Schizosaccharomyces pombe: one gene and its partners. The gene in region 1 interacts genetically with each later gene. Each region holds a gene or a part of one and is shown on either strand. Other genes may lie near its edges. The genes, in order: cdc7, gef2, hsp90 and zfs1.

What was found.
Region 2: of cdc7 (region 1) and gef2, a mutation in one rescues a mutant of the other (synthetic rescue), as found in Schizosaccharomyces pombe (one study listed by BioGRID).
Region 3: mutations in cdc7 (region 1) and hsp90 impair growth when combined (synthetic growth defect), as found in Schizosaccharomyces pombe (one study listed by BioGRID).
Region 4: of cdc7 (region 1) and zfs1, a mutation in one rescues a mutant of the other (synthetic rescue), as found in Schizosaccharomyces pombe (one study listed by BioGRID).

The regions. Positions count from the first base shown.
Region 1 is NC_003423.3:3,221,825-3,228,516, reverse strand, and holds cdc7 (serine/threonine protein kinase SIN pathway Cdc7), read left to right. Parts: upstream 1-2,011; 5' UTR 2,012-2,086; coding exon 2,087-2,113; exon of another isoform or gene 2,114-2,165; coding exon 2,166-2,300; exon of another isoform or gene 2,301-2,341; coding exon 2,342-2,371; exon of another isoform or gene 2,372-2,420; coding exon 2,421-2,485; exon of another isoform or gene 2,486-2,532; coding exon 2,533-2,786; intron 2,787-2,836; coding exon 2,837-3,298; intron 3,299-3,338; coding exon 3,339-3,580; intron 3,581-3,648; coding exon 3,649-3,712; intron 3,713-3,749; coding exon 3,750-4,102; intron 4,103-4,143; coding exon 4,144-4,278; intron 4,279-4,314; coding exon 4,315-5,736; 3' UTR 5,737-6,166; downstream 6,167-6,692. Other genes in the region: serine/threonine protein kinase Ppk24, read left to right, coding at 230-1,163, 1,246-1,697; Ras1-Scd pathway protein Ral2, read left to right, coding at 6,336-6,692. UniProt on the Schizosaccharomyces pombe protein: Protein kinase essential for cell division. Plays a key role in initiation of septum formation and cytokinesis.
Region 2 is NC_003424.3:418,041-424,525, forward strand, and holds gef2 (RhoGEF Gef2), read left to right. Parts: upstream 1-1,901; 5' UTR 1,902-2,425; coding exon 2,426-4,847; exon of another isoform or gene 4,848-4,885; coding exon 4,886-5,113; intron 5,114-5,158; coding exon 5,159-5,267; exon of another isoform or gene 5,268-5,316; coding exon 5,317-5,863; 3' UTR 5,864-5,951; downstream 5,952-6,485. Other genes in the region: bun107 (WD repeat-containing protein), read left to right, coding at 1-331; Ctf18 RFC-like complex subunit Dcc1, read right to left, coding at 435-680, 719-1,180, 1,228-1,462, 1,562-1,692; pre9 (proteasome core particle subunit alpha 3), read right to left, coding at 6,437-6,485. UniProt on the Schizosaccharomyces pombe protein: Has a role in the control of cell polarity and cytokinesis. Involved in bipolar growth and septum formation.
Region 3 is NC_003424.3:3,888,050-3,892,929, reverse strand, and holds hsp90 (Hsp90 chaperone), read left to right. Parts: upstream 1-1,790; 5' UTR 1,791-2,041; coding exon 2,042-4,156; 3' UTR 4,157-4,372; downstream 4,373-4,880. Other genes in the region: diphthamide biosynthesis protein Dph4, read left to right, coding at 172-385, 425-630; myosin II regulatory light chain Rlc1, read right to left, coding at 4,806-4,880. UniProt on the Schizosaccharomyces pombe protein: Molecular chaperone that promotes the maturation, structural maintenance and proper regulation of specific target proteins involved for instance in cell cycle control and signal transduction. Undergoes a functional cycle that is linked to its ATPase activity.
Region 4 is NC_003423.3:3,482,319-3,489,335, reverse strand, and holds zfs1 (zinc finger protein), read left to right. Parts: upstream 1-1,889; 5' UTR 1,890-4,667; coding exon 4,668-5,882; 3' UTR 5,883-6,488; downstream 6,489-7,017. Other genes in the region: dynamin family GTPase Msp1, read right to left, coding at 6,727-7,017. UniProt on the Schizosaccharomyces pombe protein: Binds to specific AU-rich elements (ARE) in the 3'-untranslated region of target mRNAs and promotes their degradation. Binds to ARE present in the arz1 mRNA and stimulates the rate of arz1 mRNA decay.

The DNA of each region.
Region 1 (6,692 bases):
GGCATTCGTGAGCATATGATTTTGGAAATTTCGTTTCTTTCAAAGACGTTATGATTACAACTATGCAATTTTGAGGTTGCTAACACGTAACTCTTTATCTAAACAGAATAAATGATGAGGTTGTTCTGAAAACACTCTTTTTTTAGTAAGAAAATAAAGAAGAAGTACATAAAAAATCAATCAATTTGAAGTCGTAACTAGGCTTCTTAGCTTCAGCGGCTTGTCACTAATGACTAATTATCCTTTTTTTCGCCAGGGGACAATTTTCGTGGACAATTCAGCAATTCAAAGGAATTCAGAGAATAAGAATAGTCTTTCGATTGAAAATATTTTTGGGAGATTTCCTAAAGAGTTCTTCCAATTTTTTTCAATAAATGTTTCTAAATCAACAACCAAGAAGTCTTCCGTCGTTATAAAGCCAAGTACAATTACTGCACCATGGTTAGAAAATGAATACTTAGACAGTAATACTAGCTTACTTTCCGTTCATTCAATTCAACCTTCGTTTATTGGAATGTCTGACTTCGCAATTGGATTAGATCCTTCACTGAAGCGTATATTACCCGAAATAAGATTTCGCTTAGACTTTCAGCATCTAAAATCAATAGCTAAAGGGGCCACCTCTACAATCAAGGTTGTAACTCACAGAGATAAAATCACCGACGCAAAGATATACTATGCTGCCAAAGTATATCGGAAAACGAAAACATCGCATAAAAAAAGATTGAATACAATGGTTTATTTTTTAAGGGAATGGTCAATCCAACCAAAATTGGACCATCCTAATATTCTGAAAGTTATCTGCCCTTGTGTGACTTTGACAAGCGTATTTAATAAATCCGCTGGGTTTTGTTTGGTTCAAGAGTACTGTCCTCAAGGCGATTTATTTAAGCAAATTGAAGAAAAAGTTTTGACCTTAGAAGACAAATGTTGTTATCTAAAGCAAATTCTTCAAGCAGTAGCTTACTTGCAATCTCAACGTATTGCGCACCGAGATTTAAAGCCGGAAAACATCTTAATCGGAAGGGATGGATTGTTAAAGCTCACCGATTTTGGTACCAGCGAAATTGTGGGTAATCCTGGTGATAACGAATCCATTCGTTTCGTATCGGGTGCTGTTGGAAGTTTGGCATATCTAGCACCAGAAGCATTTCATGAAAATGGTAAGTCTTATGTGTATAAATTGTGTAGCAAGACGAGCTCTATCCTATTTCAAAAACGACGTACTAATAGTTCAATTGATAGAATATTGTGGTCTTTTAGCAGATAGGTGGTCATGTGGTATTTTGCTTAAAGTTCTGTTTACTGGATACTTTCCATTTAAAACTTCCGTGAAAACTGATCTTTACTACTCAAAGTATATGTCAATCCTTACAGATACTTGTGGTATTTCTTCAACTGATGAATCCAGTTTCCAAACCGAAGTCATTAAACAAATACCTACATTGCAGCCCCTCAGATATATACCTGAAGGTGCTAAGAAGATTATACTAAGTTTACTGAATCCTGATTCCCAGAATCGGCCGTCGTTGGATAGTATTTTAGGTACTGCATGGGTACGGAAACTGGATTGTTGCAGTAACTTCTCTACCGATCATGAAAATAAGAGTTTACAGGAAGTTGATTTTGATGCTTCTAAACCCATTACAAGGAAAAGTTTGATTCCTCGGATTCATAACCATCAGACACTTGTTTAACGTAGTTTAAATCACTGTCTTTTCTACTTTACTTTCCAAGCTAAAATGAACTCATTCTTCCTATGTACATGGTGTTTCCACTGACATTACTTAACCAACGGATTAGTTCCATCCTTGCCAATATTTTTTATATGTCTGTATAATACGCTTTTTCTTTTATACGAGAATCTTTGTTTATTAATGATTTTATAAATAGCTTAATTATTACTATTTACTTCTTTTGAGTTTATAACATGCAAGTTCAGGTACCGTACTAAATGTGTATGTACACTATAAAGTCCTTACTTCTTCAAACGCAGCAAATGCTACATCGTAAACAAAACCAAATTGTCTTTTCATTCAAAATTACAAATAAATTCAATTTTTAATTTGTAACTTATTCAATAGTCATGCACAATATCCAAGCATCTTCCATCGTATGCTAGTATTTAATGTTAATAGCCATTGGATTTTCAATAACATATTCAGACTCTTGGGGATTGCTTGGGCAAGGGTGCCTTCGGTGCAGTATACCGTGGTCTAAATATAAAGAATGGAGAAACGGTGGCTGTAAAAAAAGTTAAACTATCCAAAATGCTAAAATCTGATCTTTCCGTCATTAAGGTATGAAGGGATCTCAACTATTTTTCTCTAACAATTTTTAGATGGAGATTGATTTGCTTAAAAATTTGGACGTATGTTACTCATTCGTTTATAATGGTCGCCAAATACTAAACGTGGTAGCATCCAAATATTGTTAAATATAGGGGATCTTATCAGACGAACGATTCTCTATGCATTATTCTGGAGTACGTGATTTTCTTTAAAAAATTGTTTTCAAGTTAACGATATATAGATATTGCGAAAACGGATCGTTGCGCTCAATTTGTAAAAACTTTGGAAAGATTCCAGAAAACCTAGTGGCCTTATATACGTTTCAAGTATTACAAGGGCTACTTTATCTACATAATCAGGGTGTTATCCATCGTGATATTAAGGGTGCCAATATACTTACTACTAAAGATGGCACTATCAAGTTAGCAGATTTCGGGGTTGCGACGAAAATTAATGCTTTAGAGGATCATAGTGTTGTTGGAAGCCCCTATTGGAGTAAGCCTTTTCTAAGCGTATAGTTATAACATTACTAACAATTTATATAGTGGCTCCCGAGGTTATAGAGCTTGTAGGCGCCACAACAGCCTCAGATATTTGGAGTGTTGGCTGCACAGTTATTGAACTGTTAGATGGAAATCCTCCCTATTATGATTTAGATCCTACGTCCGCTCTTTTTCGGATGGTGAAAGATGAACATCCTCCCTTGCCTTCAAATATTTCTTCGGCTGCTAAAAGTTTTTTAATGCAATGTTTCCAAAAGGACCCAAATTTACGAATTAAGACCAGAAAACTTCTTAAACATCCTTGGGTGATAATGAACCAAACCTCCTCTAAATTTTCTGACGCTATAGACGAGGTTCAAAAATATAATGAAAGAGTGAAAGAAAGCACTTTGACAGCTATTATCGAGCCTACTTCCAACAGAATCAATCCGACTCTTCATTCTGGCAGGCAGTCTTCTTATCACATGCCTGAGTCTCCAAAAACACCAATTGCCGAGTCCCCAGGTAGCTTTATGATACTTTTTAACTACTCTAACATTTTTAGATCATGATAACTGGGACAATGAATTTCAAGGAACCCTTAAAATCAGTGACGATGTTTTAAAGAAATCTGAGCATTTTATGGATTTTTGCAGTAACTTTAAAGGAAAAAATAATTCCAGCTCCATAACATCATCCCCTTCGAAGTCTCGCCATGCTTTTAATTCAGATCAAATCTCTGAATCAAACAACTTTAATGCATCACCGTTGAGTACTCCTCTCAAAGCCCAATTTGATCCCTCTAAGGTAAATAATGCAGCTCGATTTTCTAGAGCTTTTAATGATTTTAAATAAATAATTAACCTTTTTTTTAGCCCGCTCTCAACCGGTCAATAGATCATCAAAAAACTCCGCAACATAAAAGATACTTGTCAACTGGTAAGTATCTGATACTAACATATAACTAATTATCTAGAGTTTAAAGAGAATATACCAGACGGAATTGAAAAATTTGTCGAGACACCCAGAGATAGTGAATTTACTGATATTTTCCCTACATCCTCAATCAAAGTTCAAGGATTGAGAAAGGAGACTGGACTGGGGACTTTGGTTTTAAACAAATGTTATGGCTCGTGGAATAATGAAGAAAATGAGGATGGGGAAGAATCGGATATCTTTGACTCTATTGAAACAAACTTAGAAAACTTGGATATTGAAAACAACATTGCTTTAGATAAGAGAACGCATCTAGCTTCCTTACTTTCCAGTCTGTTAGGCTCACTACGTGACAAGAATATCGGATCGAAGGATACAACTGTTTCGCAAATAGTAAGTGCATATTTTTATATTGATAATTTAACTGACAATAGGCTTCTATACTTAGTGAAGATCTTTCTCTAAAACGAGAGATAATACAAGCGCATGGTATCCTTCCACTTTTAGAGACATTGCGCGAAATAAAAACGCCTGATGTTCAATTGCTGTTATTAAAGCTCATTAACACTGTAAGGATATTTAATGCGTGATTTTACTAACGTTAGGTTGCATTCGATGATCACACAACTTTACAAAAAGTTTGCTTTGCTGGAGGTTTACCGCTTATGTTGTCATTCTCTAATCGTGAACACTCTTTTGAGTTTAGATATGAAAGTGCTATCTTTATTCAACAGATGTATAGAACTTCTGCTTTGACATTACAAATGTTTTTGAGCTCAAATGGTCTGAATTCGCTTTTATTATTTATTAAAGAGGACTATGGAACGAACCGTGACTTTGTTTTTGTTGGCGTAGAAGGAATATGGAAATTACTGAGACAACAGGATTACATTCCAAAAAATGATATCTGTACGATGGTTGTAAATGATTCACTAGAGCCCTTGACCAAAGCCATGCTGAAAGCTTTGGCTACTGACGATGATTCTTCAAGAATGTCATTAACACGTATATGTGAAATTTTATTGGCTTTATCTCAGGCTGATAATTATGTTAAGGAATCACTTCTTTGCGAAAGTGCTCTTCGAAGGATATTGCGTATTCTGCTTTATCTGCCGCATTCTGATATGGCGATTACCTTACAGTTTTTCAAGCAACTTTCAATGGTTCCTTCATCTTTGTCGCTTCTTAGGAAAGTTCATATAATACCTCTTTTGACACATATTCTCGGTGACAGCAAAATTGAGAAAGGACGAAAAGAAATTAGAAGCGAAGCTTTGGCCGCTTTATTCAATGTGTGTAAGCTAGATAAGAAATCGCAAGAAGAGGCTGTTATTTCTGGTGCTATTCCATTATTGCAAGAGGTGATTATTAAAGACAGACTGTTTAAGGAGTTTGCGCTGCCGATATTATTAGCTTTGCCACAGGCTGGTCCAGTGTCGAGAATTTATCTTTGGCAAAATAAATGCTTAGATTTTTTTCTCTCGTTATTATCAGATCTTAATTGGCAATCTGCGGTATTTGATACGATCGCATCTTGGTTGCAGTTTGAACTCCGTGAAGTACAACGTGTTTTGGCAGAGAAGAGAAACGTACAATTAGTGTTAAAGGTGTTCTGTATTTCTCAATCAGCTTCCTCAAACAGAATGCTAGATACTTTGGGCAGGGTTTGTCAAATTTCCCCAAGATTGGCAGCCTCTTATGGCCAGCCTATAATATTCCAGAAATTTAAAGAAAAGTTAACTCATAAGGGGACCAAGCCGATTGTGGTCCTAAACATATTTCAAATTATGAAATCAATGTGTGAAGCTAGTAGCCAAAGTGTTGCTTATATTGCGCATTGTGGTTTACCAGATGTGGTTGCAAATTTGAACCAAACAAGTGATTCTGTGCTTGTTAAAGAACTAGCAAAAGACCTGCTGAAATACCTGAAGGTACCACAGGGTCCCATCAATGAGCACAAATCCCCCATTTCGAAACCGCATATGCCTCCACCTAGATGGCAACCAAAGCAGCCATTAACGCAGTGAACACTATTAAACGCATTTCCCAGTGCACGACTATATTACTTGTTTATGATATTTCTGTATTTATGGCTTAATGATTAATAAATAAGGTTGGGATTATGGAATCAATATTTTTTAAACGAAAGTTTTGCTAATTTTAATATTAATATATTATCATTCCATGTGTAAGTACGTTACCAGTTGTGTTTATACCTGAAATACAATCTAATTGAGTACCGCAATGAAGACTATTTATTTACCGAATCTATATTGATGAATCTTAGAAACGTTAAGAGAAAGGTTTATAATATGCTTATCACAGTGTATATTTATATTTATTCATTCAAGTGCTTCGAATTTTAAAATCTAGGTGTGCATAAAAGTTAACTTCACTATATCAGTTAACGCTACGATAGTGCAATACAGGAAGAAATATGCACTAAAACAAAAGGACAACAATGATTTTTATGCTTCTCATTTTTGGCTATTAATTTGCTGCTTTGTTTATTGCATAAATCTTTTTTGACTGTTTGCATTTCAGTAATTATTAATTTTTATGTGGAAGGAAAAATCACTTTTTTGATATTTCTTATTAACGTCGAGTTGCTAAACAGTTTATATCTATGTCAGAAGTAAAAAGGAATATATCTTTGAGAAATTCAACAAACATTTTTACTTCTACATTTAGTTTATCTTCAAATAATGTCCCAAAACCGCTGATTGGGGAGTCAGTTATAAAATATGGAGACGAGGCTTTTGTATATGGAGGACGCGATGCATTAAATGCGCAGCTTGTTAATGATATGTATGTAGTTGATCTTAACACTTGTTCCTGGAAGCAAGTTGAATATCAAGGAAATCAAAAGCCGATACCACGGTATTTCCATTCAGGGGATTTATGGAATAACAAATTAATATTCTTTGGTGGTATGGGATTTAATGATGATACAAAATGTCTTTATGTTCTTAACGACATCGAC
Region 2 (6,485 bases), on another chromosome or scaffold:
TAAAACTGCCCCTACTGTTAATTTTACTCTTCAGCCTTTTCCTGGAAGTGGTTTACCGCTTATTGTAAATGAAAACACTCGTTTAAGTGCTAGTGCTATGCTTCGTGCTCAGAAAATTATGGATTATAGCTATAGCAAGCTTAGCCAACAAAGAAAGGATGTATCATCCCTTCAATTTAGATGCAAAGATGTCGTCGTTACCCCCAAAATGACATTGGCAACTGTTAAGGCTCGAATTTGGCGATCTGGAGACGACGTTGTCTTTCATTATGATGTTGCTCCTAGATCTGTTTCAGAAATTGTTGATAAAACCCAGAGTCTTAATATTTAAAACTTAAGTTTGATTAAAATTTTAATTGATTTCATAATCCTGTCGAAAATAATGTACAATAAAATCAAGTTTTCAACCTGTATAGTACCGGCCAAATAAGGTTTTACCATGTCCCTCTAGAATTAATGTAAACACCGTCCCTACTGGTTTGTTTTCGCCCATATTTCAATATAAGAGCTTCAACTCTTGATTTCGACAAGGCAAGATCTTTAACGAAACTCCAAAGTTCTTCATATAACCATTTCGACTTAAGTTGAAACAAAGATTGAAACCGCCTACTTGGTTCTCTCGGTAACTGATCTCCTGATAAATACTGAATCGTATTTGGGGTATCGTGAAAATAATAACCCTAAAGAGTTTTAGCATTAGCTGACTAAAATGCCCTACCTTTAATAAATTCAAAGAAGGAAGTCCTTTACAAGGATACGGAAGACGATTATCCCATAACTGAATGAACTCATCGGAGCTTATACTGTTGATGCCTTCTAACAAAAATCGCCCATACCAAAAAGTCGTCAACTCTAAATCGATATTGAATTTTTTAGGTAAGACATTGTCCTTAATGGGTGAAGAGATACTTTCAAGAACACAAATTACTGAATCCCAATCAAATTCGTCATCCATAGCTGGCTTTTTTAAAATCTTAAACTCAAAACTTGCAAAGTCTATGTGTAACTGTTGGGCTATAACAAATATCCAGTCAATAATTGAACATATGTAAGAAGGTGATAATCGGTACAAGAATTCATTCTTTACCATGAAAAAGTTTTTCTGCAAGAATGAATCGACTTCATTTCTGCTAGCAGGAACAGATCGTATAAATTGATCTTTTGTAAGTGAAATGGGCTTCTGTTGAGACTGTTAGTGAAAGGCTAACTATTCAATAAAATGCATACCAATTCCACAGAATCTTCGTCCCAATAAGAAATTTTGTCGTCTGAAAAAATAAACCCATAAATCCGTTCAACTTCTAAAAATGAATAACATGTGTCATTTAATACCCAGTCGGTAGGACTGAGCTCATCAAAAAGCAAATACGAGTTTGATTGAACCACTTGACGCACAGCATACGTTTTATCTGAAGTACAGAGTACTGAAGCCTTTTTATCAAAATCTGATTTAAAGACAATCCTATTATCGATGTTAGATCATAAGTTGTCAAATAGCGATATAAAAAATAAAAAAGTAATGATTCAACTTCAGGTTATTTATACACAAGGAAACACATACTCTTCTTCAGGATTTTCTTCCAGAGTCTTTAATAAATCGTCGTCTAGTTCCAACAATAAATATTCAGAAGAAATATCAGAGCTTGGATGAGGGTATTTTAATAAAATGCATCTTTCTTCATTCGCTTCCATTTAATGTCTCTTTTTTTGTCTATTAAGTAATTCCCGATCTCAATAAATGACAGATTTGACTTTGGGTTGCTATTTTACTTTATTGTTAGAAAACAAGAAAATGATCACTAAAAGATTAAATTAATAATATGGTAAAAGACTAGCAGCTGTAGCGGATTTTCGCTGCAGAAAATTACCATATGTCCTATCGGTGAATGGAGAAATGGAGTAAAACTACCTAATTCAAACAACCACATCGGAGAAGCAGGTTCGGAAGCTTCAAGTGAGATTAGGATATAGTCCCTGAATTGGGTCTATTCCTTTTTCTTTTGTAGCTGTATAACTGGAAGTACTTTCACTAATAAACATTGAATTGAGATTTCTTATAATCATTAATAATTTTTGAGTTGCATAAAAACAATTTCTATCAAGTTCCGTTCTATCGATCTTTTGTAAAAAGTCTTGAAGGTTTAATTTATTTAATAATTCTTTTTCTTGGGAACCATTGCTTCTTTGCTTAAAACTTTTCTTCAGCTTTGCTTGACTGGTCAATATACTATTTGTTTTACTGTTTAAGGGATTTTGCTACCTCTATTTCTTTTCTTTCTACAAGTTTTACAGGTTATCAAGCCATCACATTTAACTGCGGTTGTTGAAAAAAAGCTTACTTGTTTACGTATATTTGGCGAAGTTAAGTTTCATATTTTTGTCTACGCGATTGACCTTTATCTTACTTTTTTCATTTATTTTTACCATGGACGTCGGCACGATGGGTTCGCGTGCTGAACTGTTAGCAATTAGCATTCAATTTGGAGGTCTATGGGTTTTTAGGGATCTGTTACAAATGAATCCTTTGTTTGAGCAAGATCATGTATTTTGTACCTTCAATCATCCAAATATGGGTTTGGTATTGATTTCATTTGCCAAAGTTGATGGTCATATTTTAGCAGCTTATGCTTTATCGAAATTGGGACCTGACACGTTTTCTATATGTTACCCTTTCTCTTCGAAGTTGGATGCTTTTGCGCAAACTTTGGACCTAGAATGGCAAATTGCTAGTATGCATAAGGAAGCTGCTGCATGCGTATATGAGTTTCTTTGCGTGGAATCTGTATGTTTACATACAGGCGAAAATTGGCGAGAGTCAGTCATTGAACCTGAGTATGCTTCCTATATTTTTGATACAATAAACGTTTTCCAGTCATCTTCTCTCACTCGTGAGCTTTATTCTCTTGGCGAGCCGAATGGTGTACGCGAATTCGTGGTAGATGCTATTTTTGACATAAAGGTTGATAACTCTTGGTGGGAAGACCCTTCTAACTCTTATTGGAAAACCGTTATAGGAAGTAGGGAAATGTTTGAGGATTCACGAAAAAAGACTTCAAGTCCGAGTCCGAGTTTTGCGTCTAGTAAAGATGCCGGAACCATACCTGCAATTCAAAAAAAAAAGAGTTTACTCATTGAGATGATGGAAACAGAGAGCACATATGTTGAGAGACTACGCCATTTAGTTAATGATTATGCACTCCCTTTACGGGATTTGGCCAAGTCTTCGAAAAAATTGCTGGGACTTTATGAATTAAACACCCTATTTCCGCCTTGTCTTAACAAATTAATTCAGCTCAATTCTGCTTTTCTTGACGAGTTTGAGGCAATCATGAGTGATTTAAATTTTGAAGATATAGACGAAAAAAAGTTTGAAGAAATTGATCTTCGATTAGCTTGTTGTTTTGAATCTCATTTTTTCGCTTTTTCACAACATTATCCTCGTTACCTTGAGCAAAGTAATGATTTTGGTAATGTTTTAAAGATGGCTTCAAAAATACCCAAATTTGTTGAATTCCATGACCAGGTAAAGCTTAACGCAAACATGAATGTGGGTTTGAGTCAGCTTATTATGGAACCAGTTCAAAGGATTCCACGATATTCACTATTTTTAGATCAGATTATATTATTGACACAAGAAGGAGAATGTCAACATACATACGTGCGCTCAGTTGAGATTATAAAAAATATTGCAGAAATGCCTACAGTTGATGCCGAAGAACGATCAAGGATTTTTGCTGGCTTACAACATATAATTCCTGACTTAGCACCAAACATGATATCTAACTCTCGAAATTTCATAGATTGTATTGACGTGACTAGGGAGTTTCTAAAAAACGGGCAACTGCATTTAATACCTTATACTCTAATTTTATTCAATGATCGAATTTGTCTTGTTCAAAGACGCTCCAAATCAAGTATTGCCTCAACTATATTGGATCTTCGTAAGCAAAATCCTCGCAATTCTTATTCCAAAGAAAAGCGTGCTCAATATATCGGTTCAAATATGAATGAAGCGGTTGAGTTGACAAGAAGTATGGTTGAGGAGAATACTATTTTTTTAATTTCCAAGTATGCATCTTCTCCTTCATTTTTTAATGAGTATCCTATTTTGAAGTTTCGTTGCGATTTTGAAAATGTAAGAACTATGGATAGGTTTTATCAGTCTTTTCAAAAAGCACTTTCAATGAACAAAAGCCAGCCTTCCTGCCTTAGTTTTTCAAAACTCAATGACTTTGTGGTTTTTTTTAATAACTATTCACGATTTGAGTATGAGAAAGAATCAAAACGCTCAGACATAGTATGCATATGCACCAATGATGCCAACGTTGATAAGCATAAATTTTTGCAAGACGGTAATATTGTCATTACTTTTTTTCAACAAGACGAAGATTTTCATTTAAGTTTCGATTCCTGGTTAGGTGTCAGTTTGCCTACTGAAGCTGTTATAGCTAAGGAAGACCTTAGGGAGGCTTGTCTTAATTATCTTATTAATATAAAAAGGCTTCTCCTATGCCCTTTTTCAAATAGAAATTTCTCAAGCTTGGATCTATACTCAAACCTTATACAGCATTTGCTTTCTGCTAATTCCAGCCCACGAAAAAGTAGGTTATCATTTGGAGGAAGGCCCGGAAGCCCTTCTAAAATCAGTTTATCATTGAACAGGTTTTATAATCAAGGCGGTTTATCAAAATCTTGTGCTACACTTCCTTCGCAAATGTACAATTTGGACCATAATAATATTTCACAAAAATCATTGAAGTTTAATACTCATAATACTTCGAAGGCTTCTGCTGAGAAAACTGTCGAACATCTTGAAGCTTTCAAAGGCGGATTTAAATATCATACAGGTAATATTGCAATTTGGATCATAACGTTAACTGAGCAGATTTAAAGAATTTACTATATCCACTGTCTGAAAAGGAGAAGATTGAGGGGGATGAGCTGTACGATAATATTTTGAAGGAAACTTTTAATGAAGAATTACTCTCTCATTACCCACCAAATATTATTTATGCGACCTTTCAAAAATATTTGAGCTCCTTTATCAATCGAAAATTTGGAGTTTTGCTTTCTTCTTCATTCATACAACAGTTAAATACTGTTGAAAATTTAAGTATGTATCGCTATCAAATTTGATTTTTTTTAACTAACATTGAAGATCTATCTTTCAATTCAACTGATGCAGTTTATCATTTGAAAAAAATCTTACAAGACTTACCCGAGAGTAGCCTAAAGATCCTTGAGAACATTTTTTCTATTGCTTCCGAGTAAGTCACCAAGCTTGTTTTTCAGAGGTTTTATTATCTAACGTCGTAGTTTGCTTTTGAGACTTCCTCTTAAAGATCAATGTGATTTTGTTACGAAACAACTAGCAATTGCCTTGGCTCCTTCCATGTTTGGAAGTAATGCTGTAGAACTTGTTTATTACCTTGCATACCACAGTGATCGCATTTTTGGAACAGTAGAGGAATTGCCGACTCCGGTTTCCCCTGCGAATTCCAATAATGATAAACAGTTAGATGAATCGAAATTCCAAGCAATTGCCATGAAAGAAATGCCGGAAAGACACCCTAAGGAAATTTTACCTGGTCAAATAGAACGAGAGGCATACGAGGATTTACGACGCAAATATCATCTGACTCTTGCAAGGTTGGCTCAAATGACTCGATTAAATGAAGATTCTAAAAAGTCTATCCCTCTGTTGTATGATCGCTTCAACCATGATCTTAAGCTTATAAAGCAATCAGTTCAAGCCAGTTTAATTAGAAAACAATGTGAACTAGATACCGCAAAGTGGACTCTTGAAGAGTATGAATCCAAGCTAAACGCTAAGGAAGGTTGTCAAACCAACATATTTATATAGCCAACTAGTCTATACTACATCGATTATTAGATTATTTGTTTTACTATTCCTTTTTTAGATATCAATAGTTATTTTTTTTATCCTTCAATATGTAAGTGAAAGTTAATAATACTCATCAAAAAGTTTTCTCTTATTTTTATAAATAGTATAGAATTGGAATATGCTACACCGTTTAAAATCTTCAGTTATGAAAACTAAGCATATAGTTTAGAACATATGAGAGTCATTGACATTCCATTGGAAATACTATAATTTTAAATATGCCGGAATGGTGTACTCAAGTAGAAATTGACGTTATGAAGGGAATGAGAAAGAAAGGTCTAAGTATAAAAGAAACTTGAAAAAAGCCTTTTTTAAAACGGCATAAGAATTCATAAGATAATGATTTAGCGTAGATAAAAAGAAAGCAAGCCTATATTGAGACGGAATAAGGCTCATGATGGAACTTAGTTTGCTTCAAATTGTTTACAAAAACCATGAGCTAATTACAAGGAGATTAAAGGGTAACGACGAAAGCTATAAAAAACAGCTATACACTTAAAGTGTTTTCCCAATGAATTGAGTAAGGCAATATTAAGATTGCCGCTGGGTCTCTTGGTACTTATTGAGCACTTCATTTATT
Region 3 (4,880 bases), on another chromosome or scaffold:
CCTAACCTCAATAATTCTTTAAAAATTTTTAAAGATGTAGCTTTAATTAAACATTTGAGCACATATTGTTTCATCATTGCTCTCCTACATCAAAGTAATGACAAATCAATTGGGCACCCTAACTATGTATATGCATATACCAGCAGAACGACATAAGTGTGCTGTATCCTCATGAACCACTATTCGGTTCTAAACCTCAAAGATGGAAAAACTTACACAGACGATGAAATAAAAGAAGCTTATAGAAAAGCGTTACTACTGTTTCACCCGGATAAGTGTAAAGAAAAGCCCTCTGTGGTGTATACTATTGATCAAGTGAAAGAAGCATATCAAGTCCTTTCAAGTGAAAAAGATCGTCAGCAATATCAAATAAAACAAGAAGAGGGTAATTTTGTTTTGAAGGTTTTTTTATTAATCTAAACAGAAAGCTCGCATTACTACTCTATCGTTGATCTAAGTGAATTTGAAGAACTCGACAACGGCTCCTATTATTATCCTTGCCGATGCGGCGATTTAGGAGGATATGTTGTCACGGAAGACGACCTGGAAAATAACAGAAGTGTCGTCCCATGCATGGGTTGCTCTCTAACTATACAAGTAGATTATGAAATCGCGGAATCCGACTCATGATATCTTTTAAAGGGAGGCCAAGTATTTGTTGAGAGAAGGCAAGGCTAGTCTCTCTTGCTAAGGATTGTATAATAATATAGACTAATTGCAGCTGTAAATAATTTGGAAGTTTCAAAAGAGTCCTTAAATGAACGGTTAATTACCTTTGAAAATTTATGGCGGAGAATCACTTTTGATTTATTTATATACAAAGAATTTATTGCTGAGATATTATTAATAGCCTTTTTACTAAAATTTGAGTACTGTAAAAACTGCTGGAATGTTTCAATAATAATTTGTATTCGATAGGTGACATGGCTGTAGCGAAATTTATGCAAGCGACGCACATACCGAAGTAGTATCGGATGCGTTTCGTCTTGTCAAGTAAGTTTTATGCAAATGCGAAGGATTGGGTGTTTAACGATGTAAACAAATACAGTACAAGTTTATGAAATGGTATTTGCTAAATTCTGTTCGATTTTGAGAAATATTACATATTCTGTTCTTTATTATATATTCTATAAATTTATGTAACAAATGTCTACGGCCATACCTAGGCGAAAACACCAGTTCCCGTCCGATCACTGCAGTTAAGCGTCTGAGGGCCTCGTTAGTACTATGGTTGGAGACAACATGGGAATCCGGGGTGCTGTAGGCCTCTTTTTCGGAACATTATTTTTAATATGTATTCTAATTGCGTGCAAAAGAAATTTGAAGAAATATCACTCACTTGGAATTTATGAAGTTCCCATCATCTAGATAAGATACAGTTAAACACTTTAAATGATCGATCTCGTTTAGCTAACCTAAAAACGGTCGGTTATGAACAGTGAACGTTAGCGAGATGCCGATTTTATCACCCTTCAACGATGCTTAACGAAAAAACCTTTCGCTACAGTAAAACCTTATGAGCTTATCACAGTGTAAGGATGTTTCCGAATATTGGTTGTTCGTAATTTTACGCAATACACTATCTTCCCTCTAGCATCTTCTAGATACACTTTAGTGAGAAATTTTTTTTCTCACCCCAACCTTCTATCGCAATCCAAATACCACACTTCGTTGCATCCGCACTATTCTTTGAGTTCCATGTCCTTCCACCAAAAACCAGGGTTAGGGTTTTGGAATGTTCGAGTTGCTTTGTTTACAGAATATAAACCACCATACACGTACCCTCCGCCATCTAGCTCTCAAGTTATTTATAACCCATTTCCCACTAAGTTCCTTTGTTGAACGCTTAAAAGATTGTTCATACGTTTGAACATATTTAAAATCACGTTATAGCTGAGAAGAAAACCCCTTTTCAAGTAATAAAAGTATATTTAATTACTTATTTTACCCTTTATATTACGAACTGTACGACTTAACCGGTTTTATCTATAAATTCCTTCATTTTTCTTTGTTTTCGTTTTCAATTTGATTTCATTACAAAATGTCGAACACAGAAACTTTCAAGTTTGAGGCTGAAATCAGCCAGTTGATGTCTTTAATCATCAACACTGTTTATTCTAACAAGGAAATTTTCCTTCGTGAGCTTATTTCCAACGCTTCCGATGCCTTGGACAAAATTCGTTATCAAAGCCTTTCCGATCCTCATGCCTTAGACGCTGAGAAGGATCTTTTCATTCGCATTACTCCTGACAAGGAGAACAAAATCCTTAGCATTCGCGATACCGGTATTGGTATGACCAAGAATGACCTTATCAACAACCTTGGTGTTATCGCCAAGTCTGGTACTAAGCAGTTTATGGAAGCTGCTGCTTCTGGTGCTGATATCTCCATGATTGGTCAATTCGGTGTTGGTTTCTACTCTGCATACTTGGTTGCCGACAAGGTCCAAGTCGTAAGTAAGCATAATGACGATGAGCAATACATCTGGGAATCCTCTGCTGGTGGTAGCTTCACCGTCACTTTGGACACCGATGGACCTCGCTTGTTACGTGGTACCGAGATTCGTCTCTTCATGAAAGAAGACCAACTTCAATACCTCGAGGAAAAGACTATCAAAGATACCGTCAAGAAACATAGTGAGTTCATCTCTTACCCCATTCAATTAGTTGTTACCCGTGAGGTTGAGAAGGAGGTCCCTGAAGAAGAAGAGACCGAAGAAGTTAAGAATGAAGAAGACGATAAGGCTCCTAAGATTGAGGAGGTTGATGATGAATCTGAGAAGAAGGAGAAGAAGACCAAGAAGGTCAAGGAGACCACCACTGAGACTGAGGAGTTGAACAAGACCAAGCCCATTTGGACTCGCAACCCCAGTGAAGTTACCAAGGAAGAGTATGCCTCTTTCTACAAGTCTTTGACTAACGACTGGGAAGACCATTTGGCCGTCAAGCACTTCAGCGTTGAAGGTCAATTGGAATTCCGTGCCATTCTTTTCGTCCCCCGCCGCGCTCCTATGGACCTTTTTGAGGCCAAGCGTAAGAAGAACAACATCAAGCTCTATGTTCGCCGTGTTTTCATTACCGACGACTGTGAAGAGTTGATTCCTGAATGGTTGGGTTTCATTAAGGGTGTTGTTGATTCTGAGGACTTGCCCTTGAACTTGTCTCGTGAGATGCTTCAACAAAACAAGATCATGAAGGTTATTCGTAAGAACCTTGTCCGTCGTTGTCTTGATATGTTCAACGAGATTGCCGAGGACAAGGAGAACTTCAAGACTTTCTACGATGCTTTCAGCAAGAATTTGAAGCTTGGTATCCATGAGGATGCTGCTAACCGCCCTGCTTTAGCCAAGCTTTTGCGTTACAACTCCCTTAACTCCCCTGATGATCTTATCAGTCTTGAGGACTACATCACTAAGATGCCCGAACATCAAAAGAACATTTATTTCATCACTGGTGAATCTAAGCAAGCCGTTGAGAACTCTCCCTTCTTGGAAATCTTCCGTGCCAAGAAGTTTGATGTTCTCTTCATGGTTGACCCCATTGATGAGTACGCTGTCACTCAACTCAAGGAATTCGAGGGCAAGAAATTGGTTAACATTACTAAGGATGGTCTTGAGTTGGAAGAGACTGACGAGGAGAAGGCTGCTCGCGAGAAGCTCGAAAAAGAGTATGAGGAGTTTGCTAAGCAACTTAAGACCATTTTGGGTGACAAGGTTGAAAAGGTTGTTGTTTCTAACAAGATTGTTGGTTCTCCTTGCTTGTTAACTACCGGTCAATATGGTTGGTCTGCTAACATGGAACGTATCATGAAGGCTCAAGCCCTTCGTGATACTTCTATGAGTGCCTATATGTCTAGCCGCAAGACTTTTGAGATTAACCCCAAGTCTCCCATCATTGCTGAGCTCAAGAAGAAGGTTGAGGAGAATGGTGCCGAAGACCGCTCTGTGAAGGATCTTGCTACTATTTTGTATGAGACCGCCTTGTTGTCCTCTGGTTTCACTCTTGATGACCCTAGTGCTTATGCTCAACGTATCAACCGTCTTATTTCTCTTGGTCTTAGCATTGACGAAGAGGAGGAGGCTCCTATTGAGGAAATTTCTACCGAATCCGTCGCTGCTGAAAACAATGCTGAGAGCAAGATGGAGGAAGTCGATTAAATCAAATGCATCTAATGTGTCTTTCCAAAATTTATGCATATAATGTTTTTCTTGGATTAAAGCAAGTTATCCTATACATTGTTAACGATTCTAGTGTCTGTTGTCATTCAAAAATTTCTTTCTACACGATTTTTCTTAATACACACTAGATTACAGGTTGTTTGGAAGTTGTTATAATATGGAATGTTGATTAGTAATATTAAAGTTTATGGATACTTATTAGTACATCAAATTTTGTTTTCGAATAATGTAGTTTATACTACTAACAAGTACAAGTTGGTGCTTAAAAGTTATTTTTTTCTAGTCATGTGAGAGCTGTTTTACAAGGTAGGATAATTTTGATGAGGAACATAGGTATGCTGGGCTAATATAGATTTATTCATACATTAATTGAACCCTCGAATGAAAATATGGTTAATGACATTAAGCCTAAGCTCTAACTCACTAAACACTGCAAATAATAGTAAAGTCGCAGAGAGTAGCTAAGTATTGAGACACATAAAGTATAGGTCACAACGAACATAAATGTATCAAATGCTTTCATAAAAAGTTAAAAGAGAAGAGGAAAATTCGTCTAAGGGAAATGGCTCAGGTTAAAAAGATAAAGTATTAGAGGGAAGAATGTGAAACATATCTGGCTGCTCTTAACTCAATTGCTATCTTTTGACCCAGCAATAGCATCAACGAATTTCTCGTAATAGAATACACCATGACTGGTGTACGA
Region 4 (7,017 bases), 260 kb from region 1:
CCTTAAATCAGATACCAAACTGCGTAGCTTACAGTATAATAAATAACAGATTATTCCGTTACACAACACATTATTGACTAAACTTCCGTATATGAATTGAGTGTACGTTTTCACCATCATCAGTCAGTTCATTCGGTCGATACGCATGTGGCATGAATTTACCAGTTTTACGTGTTTCGTACAATGACAATTTGTGATTGCCGGTTTTGATGAATTCATCATGATACGATGGATTTGCTTCACTAGCAACGCCTATATGTTTAAAATGAAGACACTTAGGTCTAGAAATCTCTGTTTTTCTGTTTTCTGTTAAATCATTTTACCGAGAATAAAGGGGTATGTATGATGGATGGGGTACTTTCAATTCTTTGCTTTTCCTCGACCCACTGTAACCCAAGCAACATGCTAAAGAAAGCGAATCGGCCGTTTTCTCGATTTGAGTAGTATTATCATTGTTATTATAATTTGATATTTTAATATTGTTTTACTAGCAAGATCAACTTCCCTTTGTTCTTTTACATAGCGCAATTCCTCCTAGCTGAACACCTGACCGACCCCTTAACCCCTCCTCGTTCTCCCTTTGCCAAAATAAAAAAAAATAAAAAAAATAAAGAAAATATCAATAAATAATTTAATAAAAATTTTTTTTAAACAAAAATAGTTTTGAAACCCAAAATTAGGTAGACTATCTTTTGTATCATGCCGTAATTCGTATTCTCCGTCGTGTTTGCCAAAATTCAATCATCACTCAGATACTGTCAATAATAGCTTTTATATTTCAAATTATTCATCAATTTCATTTGTACTTTATTCATTTATTCCATTTTTCAACTTTTATTTAGATATCCTTACTCTTGTCTTTTTTACGTTTGTTTATGTCTTTTTGATGGATGGTTCTTGCAACTCGTTTTGCCATCTCCATCTCCCGCTGCTACTCTAAGCAAAAGCATTGCCGATGCATAACAACGCCTTCCGTAATTTTTATTAGTCCTCCGTATGACCACATTTGTCTGTAGTAAAAATGAGCTGTCCAGTCGAGAACTCCAGCTTCGTATGCATGCTTCCGGATCCTATCGTGCTCAAAGACCATCCCGCTATCTTACTTTACAATGTAGATTTGAACACGCCCCAGTGTGGAGGTAAACTTTCTGGGCCTTTTGAGCAATGGTAAGTACGTGTCTTCCGTTCATTATCCCAATCAGCTACAATTTATCGCCAATACTCTCCAATGAATGGAAGAACAATTACCAAACAAACACTGGGGATTGTGCCCACAGTAGATTGCGTGTAGAAGGGATAACAAACATGCTATTGCCATGCATGCATCTACACCAAGGAAATTAGAAAAAAATTTGTTCAAAAACGAAAAACTATTCTTTTTGATAATATGTGTAAAAATAAAATAAAATAAAATAAAATAAAATAAAATAAAATAAAATACCAATACATTTTGTTTCATATAGAATATAGAACTGCTCATAAATTAAAAAATAGCCTGCATCAAAAAAATTTATTCCAATTCCCTCGTCTTTACCTAAAACAACTAATACTGTACTACTTTTTTTAAATCGCATTCCTTTAGAGCACGCACTTTTCGAACCAATACACCGCCATTCTATGCAATGCTTCCCCTTTCCCTATTGTAATTCTACCGATAATTTTATTCTCGGAGTTGTTTTATGACTTTCTAATTTACTTTGTAAATTTTTCTTTTTTTGAAAGCTCCTCCATCTGTCCTTGCTCACGTTTGCCATCTTTCCATTTCAACACTGTAGTGTACTGCGCCACAACATCCGCACTGAGTGTCTTTTGCACATACCACTGATTTTACCGACATTCCCCACTTTTAAACAACTTGTAAGCACAGGGCTTGTTGAGTCCATCAACTTGCTCTTTCGACATCTTCTAGGTCGTTGACTTTACGTAGTATAAAGTGGCATTGATGCTCGAACACAATTAACTAATCTTAACACATTGATAATTGGTTTCTTTGTGTTTTAAACAAAAAAAAATTTCATCTCTTTTGTTGTCCCATATATATATTGATTGCGTGTAACCTTGAAATAACCTCAATTTCTGTACCGGGGTCGTTGCGTATCGAAACACTATTGTTATCGTCCTAGCATATTTGGATACTGTGTACTACACTATTGTCGTGCTCTCTTTTACTTTACTTTACTCACTTTTCCTTCCTTCTTGCCCGACACGACATTGAAACTGCTGGCTTCCTAGCCTTGCTCCTCCTTTTCGACCGGACCTGCTACGTGCTGTAAATTGATTAATCGTATACAATTGTGGTTTTTGACAATTTTCTTTTATTCTGTCGATTTTCTCTTTTTCTCTTATCACGACTTTCTGCTTCTCTTCTACAATATTTTGCTAATCGGCTTGTGTTGTATCAACAGCAAAGCTAAGTGACTTGACATTACTAGAATTCTTCCTTTCCTTCAAAAACACGTGCAAGTTTGTTCCATTTTAATATCTACGTTTCCTTCCTTGATTGCACTATTTCATCATTAGAGGGAACCACTTTTCTATATTACCAAGCACCTACTTATTTGGGATTTATTTATTTTTATTTCCTACGGCTAACTCGATTACGATTAGTGCGCGGCTTTTTCTCTTTGGAAAAATTTTTCTTGTTGGAACGGTTGTCAATCGCGTGCTATATTGCTTTCCTTCTTACCCGTTTACAATTTAGCTTTCCCTTTTCTCCTTTTGCAATTTTTTTTGGGTTTTTTTTAAAACGTACACACGCACTGTGTATTCCATCTAGCCATCAATCCTTCATTTTTTTTCCACCGATTAATCCTTTTCTATATATACCGGAATTTTCCGTCTTTTCTTTTTCGGACACTTTTACGAGCTGTTGCGAATTTCGTTATTCTTAGTTTGTGTTATTTGCTTTTAGCCGCCCTTTTTCTTCTTCTCTGCATCAACATAACAGGTCAGGGACCAGACAGGACAGGACGAAACAACAACGTAATCGTTCAACCAACTTCTATTACCATCGACCTCTAACTTACCGACTTACCACCACAACACTTTCCTCCAGAATAGTTGAAAGCCTTTTGACTTTGCTGAATCTTTCTTTGTGTGTCCGTGTGTGTGTCTGTTTTTTTCAAATTCATCACTGTTTGAATATCGGCATCTCATCCTTTTTCTCAATTTCTCAATTTCTTGCCTGAGATACCGTTTGTTCTTTCCGTTGAATACTTTTTTTCTGCAGTGTGAAAAAATTCCGTTTTACGTTGACAAAACATTTATCTCGGATTGAAAGTTGTTTTCGTAGCTGTTTGTTTTAGTCTATTCCTTTCAACCGGTTTTCTTGTCTCTGTTAGATTTGTTTTCTCTTCTTCATTCTGAGTCAAGCTCTGGGTTTTTTTCTTTGTTGGAAAACCATTCTCTTTTCAATTTTATTTCTCTTTTCTGATATCGAAGCAAAAGAGCTCCTAAACGCTCTCAATTACTGTTTAACGTAACAGATATATTAACATCTTAGTATATTTGCGTTTTATTTGTTGAAACTTTCGCATATCCCCTTAAAGCTTTTTGTGGCAATCCTTATCTGATATTGATTTATTCTTTTGATTCGCCATTTCTTTCGACGTTTTTAAAGTACTCTAAAAGAGAAATTATTTAAAATACTTTAAATTGGGCTCTGTTCTTTTCTCCATCCCACTTTTGTATCTTTGCAGCAATAGTCGGTTTGGTTGATAATCCCTATATTTCTTTGGACAAGATATTATCTTTTGCTGAAAAAACACCCCATCTTTCGATTTTGAAATTTTTTTTTCTGTTTCAATTTCTTATTTCTTTCTACTGATTACTCTCCTCATCAATTCTCACTCTTTTTTCATTTCAAATCTCGCTTTTATCCTATATCAGTGATAAAACTCCTGTTTGATGCTCACCTTGCACATTGGCACTAACTTTAACGTTTTCCCTTTATATCCGCAAATTCCCTTTTTTTTGTGCTTCGTATATTAAAAGCGTTCCCTTATTAGGTTTTTTTATACATTAAGGATTTACGATTAGTCTCATTTTGTTGTGTTTTGAGATTTGTGTTTTATGTTCATCTGTTGTATTCACTTACTTCAGAGAAAAAAAAGGCGTTTTTGTTCTTTTGGTTTAAATTTTATTCCCTAAAATTTGCATTCAACTCGGATTTTTTCTTTGTTTGACGACTGTTTTTTGAAAAGGATTGCTTTGGGTCACAAACACAATACATCCATCTATTAAACTTTTGTCTTCTATACTTTTACTTCCTTCTCAAAATCTTTCCTTATATCATTGTGTGGTTTCTCTCCGTTTTCTTGTATCTTTTCTGTTCGACTTCTGAAAAAACAGCGTCTCTATACTATTGATTTTCATCTTAAATTTGCGTGTTTTCTTTTTAACTCTACGTTTCTCTCGTTTTTCTGCATATTACTTTCGGTGATTACCCTGTAATTCTATTTTGAAGGTTGACGTTTTTTTCAAGTTCCTGATTCCATAATTCTATTTAACACAAGTTTTTTACTGGAATTTTTTAAGTTATTCTGCGCAACCTTTTTTTGATTCATTTTACAACTTCTTTGTTCGTTTATAACTAATCTTCTATTGTATCACTTTTTTCTAGTGAACTTCATTAATTTATTGCGTGTCTGTTTTTTATTCTTTTAACCATGGTTTATTCTCCTATGTCTCGACCTCAAGTACCTCTGGCTTTTCGCCAATGGCCCCCCTACAATTATAAGAGTGATCCCCTTGTCAACTCAAAACTATCTCAGTCTACTACGTCTGTTAATGCAGGACCCAGTTTAATAAGTCCATCATTCCTTGACTCCTACGCCAACTCCTCATCTTTACTTCACAAGCCATCTACAAATTTGGGCAGTTTAAAGACATCTAGTCTTCTCGCCTCTGATGAAGTTTTCCCTTCTTCAGTCATGCCCCAGCTTCGTCCATTGGATTCAAGTTTATCTGTTTCTCCTGAAATGGACGGTTGGCCATGGCATCACAATTCTTCTTCTAACCCACAGGGATACGCATGGACACCTTCATTACTTTCTTCCAACGCTACTAGCTATTTACATTCTGGTAGTTCTCCTCATGGAAACACAAGCAATCATCCTTCACCTATATCATCCTTGGAGAGTCTTCCTTCTCGTAGTAGCACTGGTAGTGGTAGTCTTGATTTTTCCGGCCTTGCCAATCTCCACGATGATTCCAAATCACTGGCCATGTCTTTGAACATGGCTGGCGTCCCTGTATCCGTCGATGAGAACTCTCAAACTTCGTTTCCTTTTGTTCATGGTCAACCGGAATCTACCATGTCTAGAAAACCTAAGCTGTGCGTTCAATCGAAATCAATGACAAACATCCGCAACTCTGTTGCTAAACCGTCGTTAGTTAGACAATCGCATTCAGCGGGGGTTATTCCCATCAAGCCTACAGCATCGAATGCCTCAATTCGCAATGCTCCTTCCAATTTATCAAAGCAATTTTCACCTTCGGGTAATAGTCCTCTTACTGAGGCTTCCAAACCTTTCGTTCCTCAACCATCAGCTGCAGGAGATTTTCGCCAAGCTAAGGGTTCAGCTAGCCATCCTCATGGTTCTGGCAGTAGTAATGGGGTAGCTCCCAACGGCAAGCGCGCATTATATAAGACCGAGCCTTGCAAGAATTGGCAAATTAGTGGAACTTGCCGTTATGGCTCTAAATGTCAATTTGCGCATGGCAACCAGGAACTGAAAGAACCTCCTCGTCACCCAAAATACAAAAGCGAGCGTTGCCGATCTTTCATGATGTATGGTTATTGTCCTTACGGATTGCGATGCTGCTTTTTGCATGATGAATCCAATGCTCAAAAAAGTGCAACTATTAAGCAATCTCCTTGATATCACATCAGCTTGTATAAGATGACTTTTGTTCTTTGTTGTTATGCAATCTGGGTGAGATTAATTTATTATGACGCTTACTTTCCTATCCTCCTTGGTTTTCTTATACGGTTATTATTTATATTGTTCTTCTGTAACATTATGTGAGCTTTTCTTTTGCAATCGCCTTTACCTTGTTTTTATTTATGGTTTTATCGCAAGGTTTGAGTTTGCCAGTCATGTTCACACTTTATTCTTTATTTATTTGATGACCTTATTGGTCAAGATAGAATTTATAAGAGAAAAAAATTAAAGAAGATCATGAGTTAGTTACTCTGTCATATGTCAGGGTACTGTTTTTATTTTTGCAAATCATGTACCTTTAGCTTTTTGCAGAATGGCGATTTAAAGAGTTATGAGAAGATTGGACAATATATATTTATAGTATTAAATTCGAATCTTGTTTACTTCGTCTAGCAATGCGATACGCATGAATCGGGGTTTTATTAGATTTGTGTGGTATCTGTAATATACTGTTATAATTCGAATCAAGGGAGTTTCTTAAAATACCCAATCTTATTACGAAAATGATTTATGCAATCAGGGAGATTTGATGAGCGAAGCCTATGTATTATTTGAATAACAGTAACGTTACTGCAAAAATTTAAGTAGTTATTTGAATGTTGTGCACTTTTCATAAACATAGATTTGCAATATGCATCAAAAATTTGTAACGCAATTCTGTACTGCTTACAAACAATTTTATTCACGAGAAAACTACCAGGCTATACATAGTAACACATACAAGCATTTTTGGAAAGTTAGTTAAAAAAATTCATTAAACTCGGACTACTTTACTCGTTATTTAATCGCTATCGGCTTGCTGTTCCAAGATAACTAATGAATTGATCTTCTGCAGAGCCAATTCCAAACATTGCCGCTTATGCTGCAACTGTAGCTGTGACTTGAGACGAGGATTTTCATTGACAAATGCATTCAACTGTTCAGAACTCAAAGAATGGATGAGACGCTGATCCAGTTCACGTGGAAATTGGTAATAAAACTCAGAAAGCAGCTCAATATTAATAAATAAAACTGCGGTATTAACCAGTTTATCAGAAACGGCATTTAAAAAAATTTCAGGACAGGTGTACTT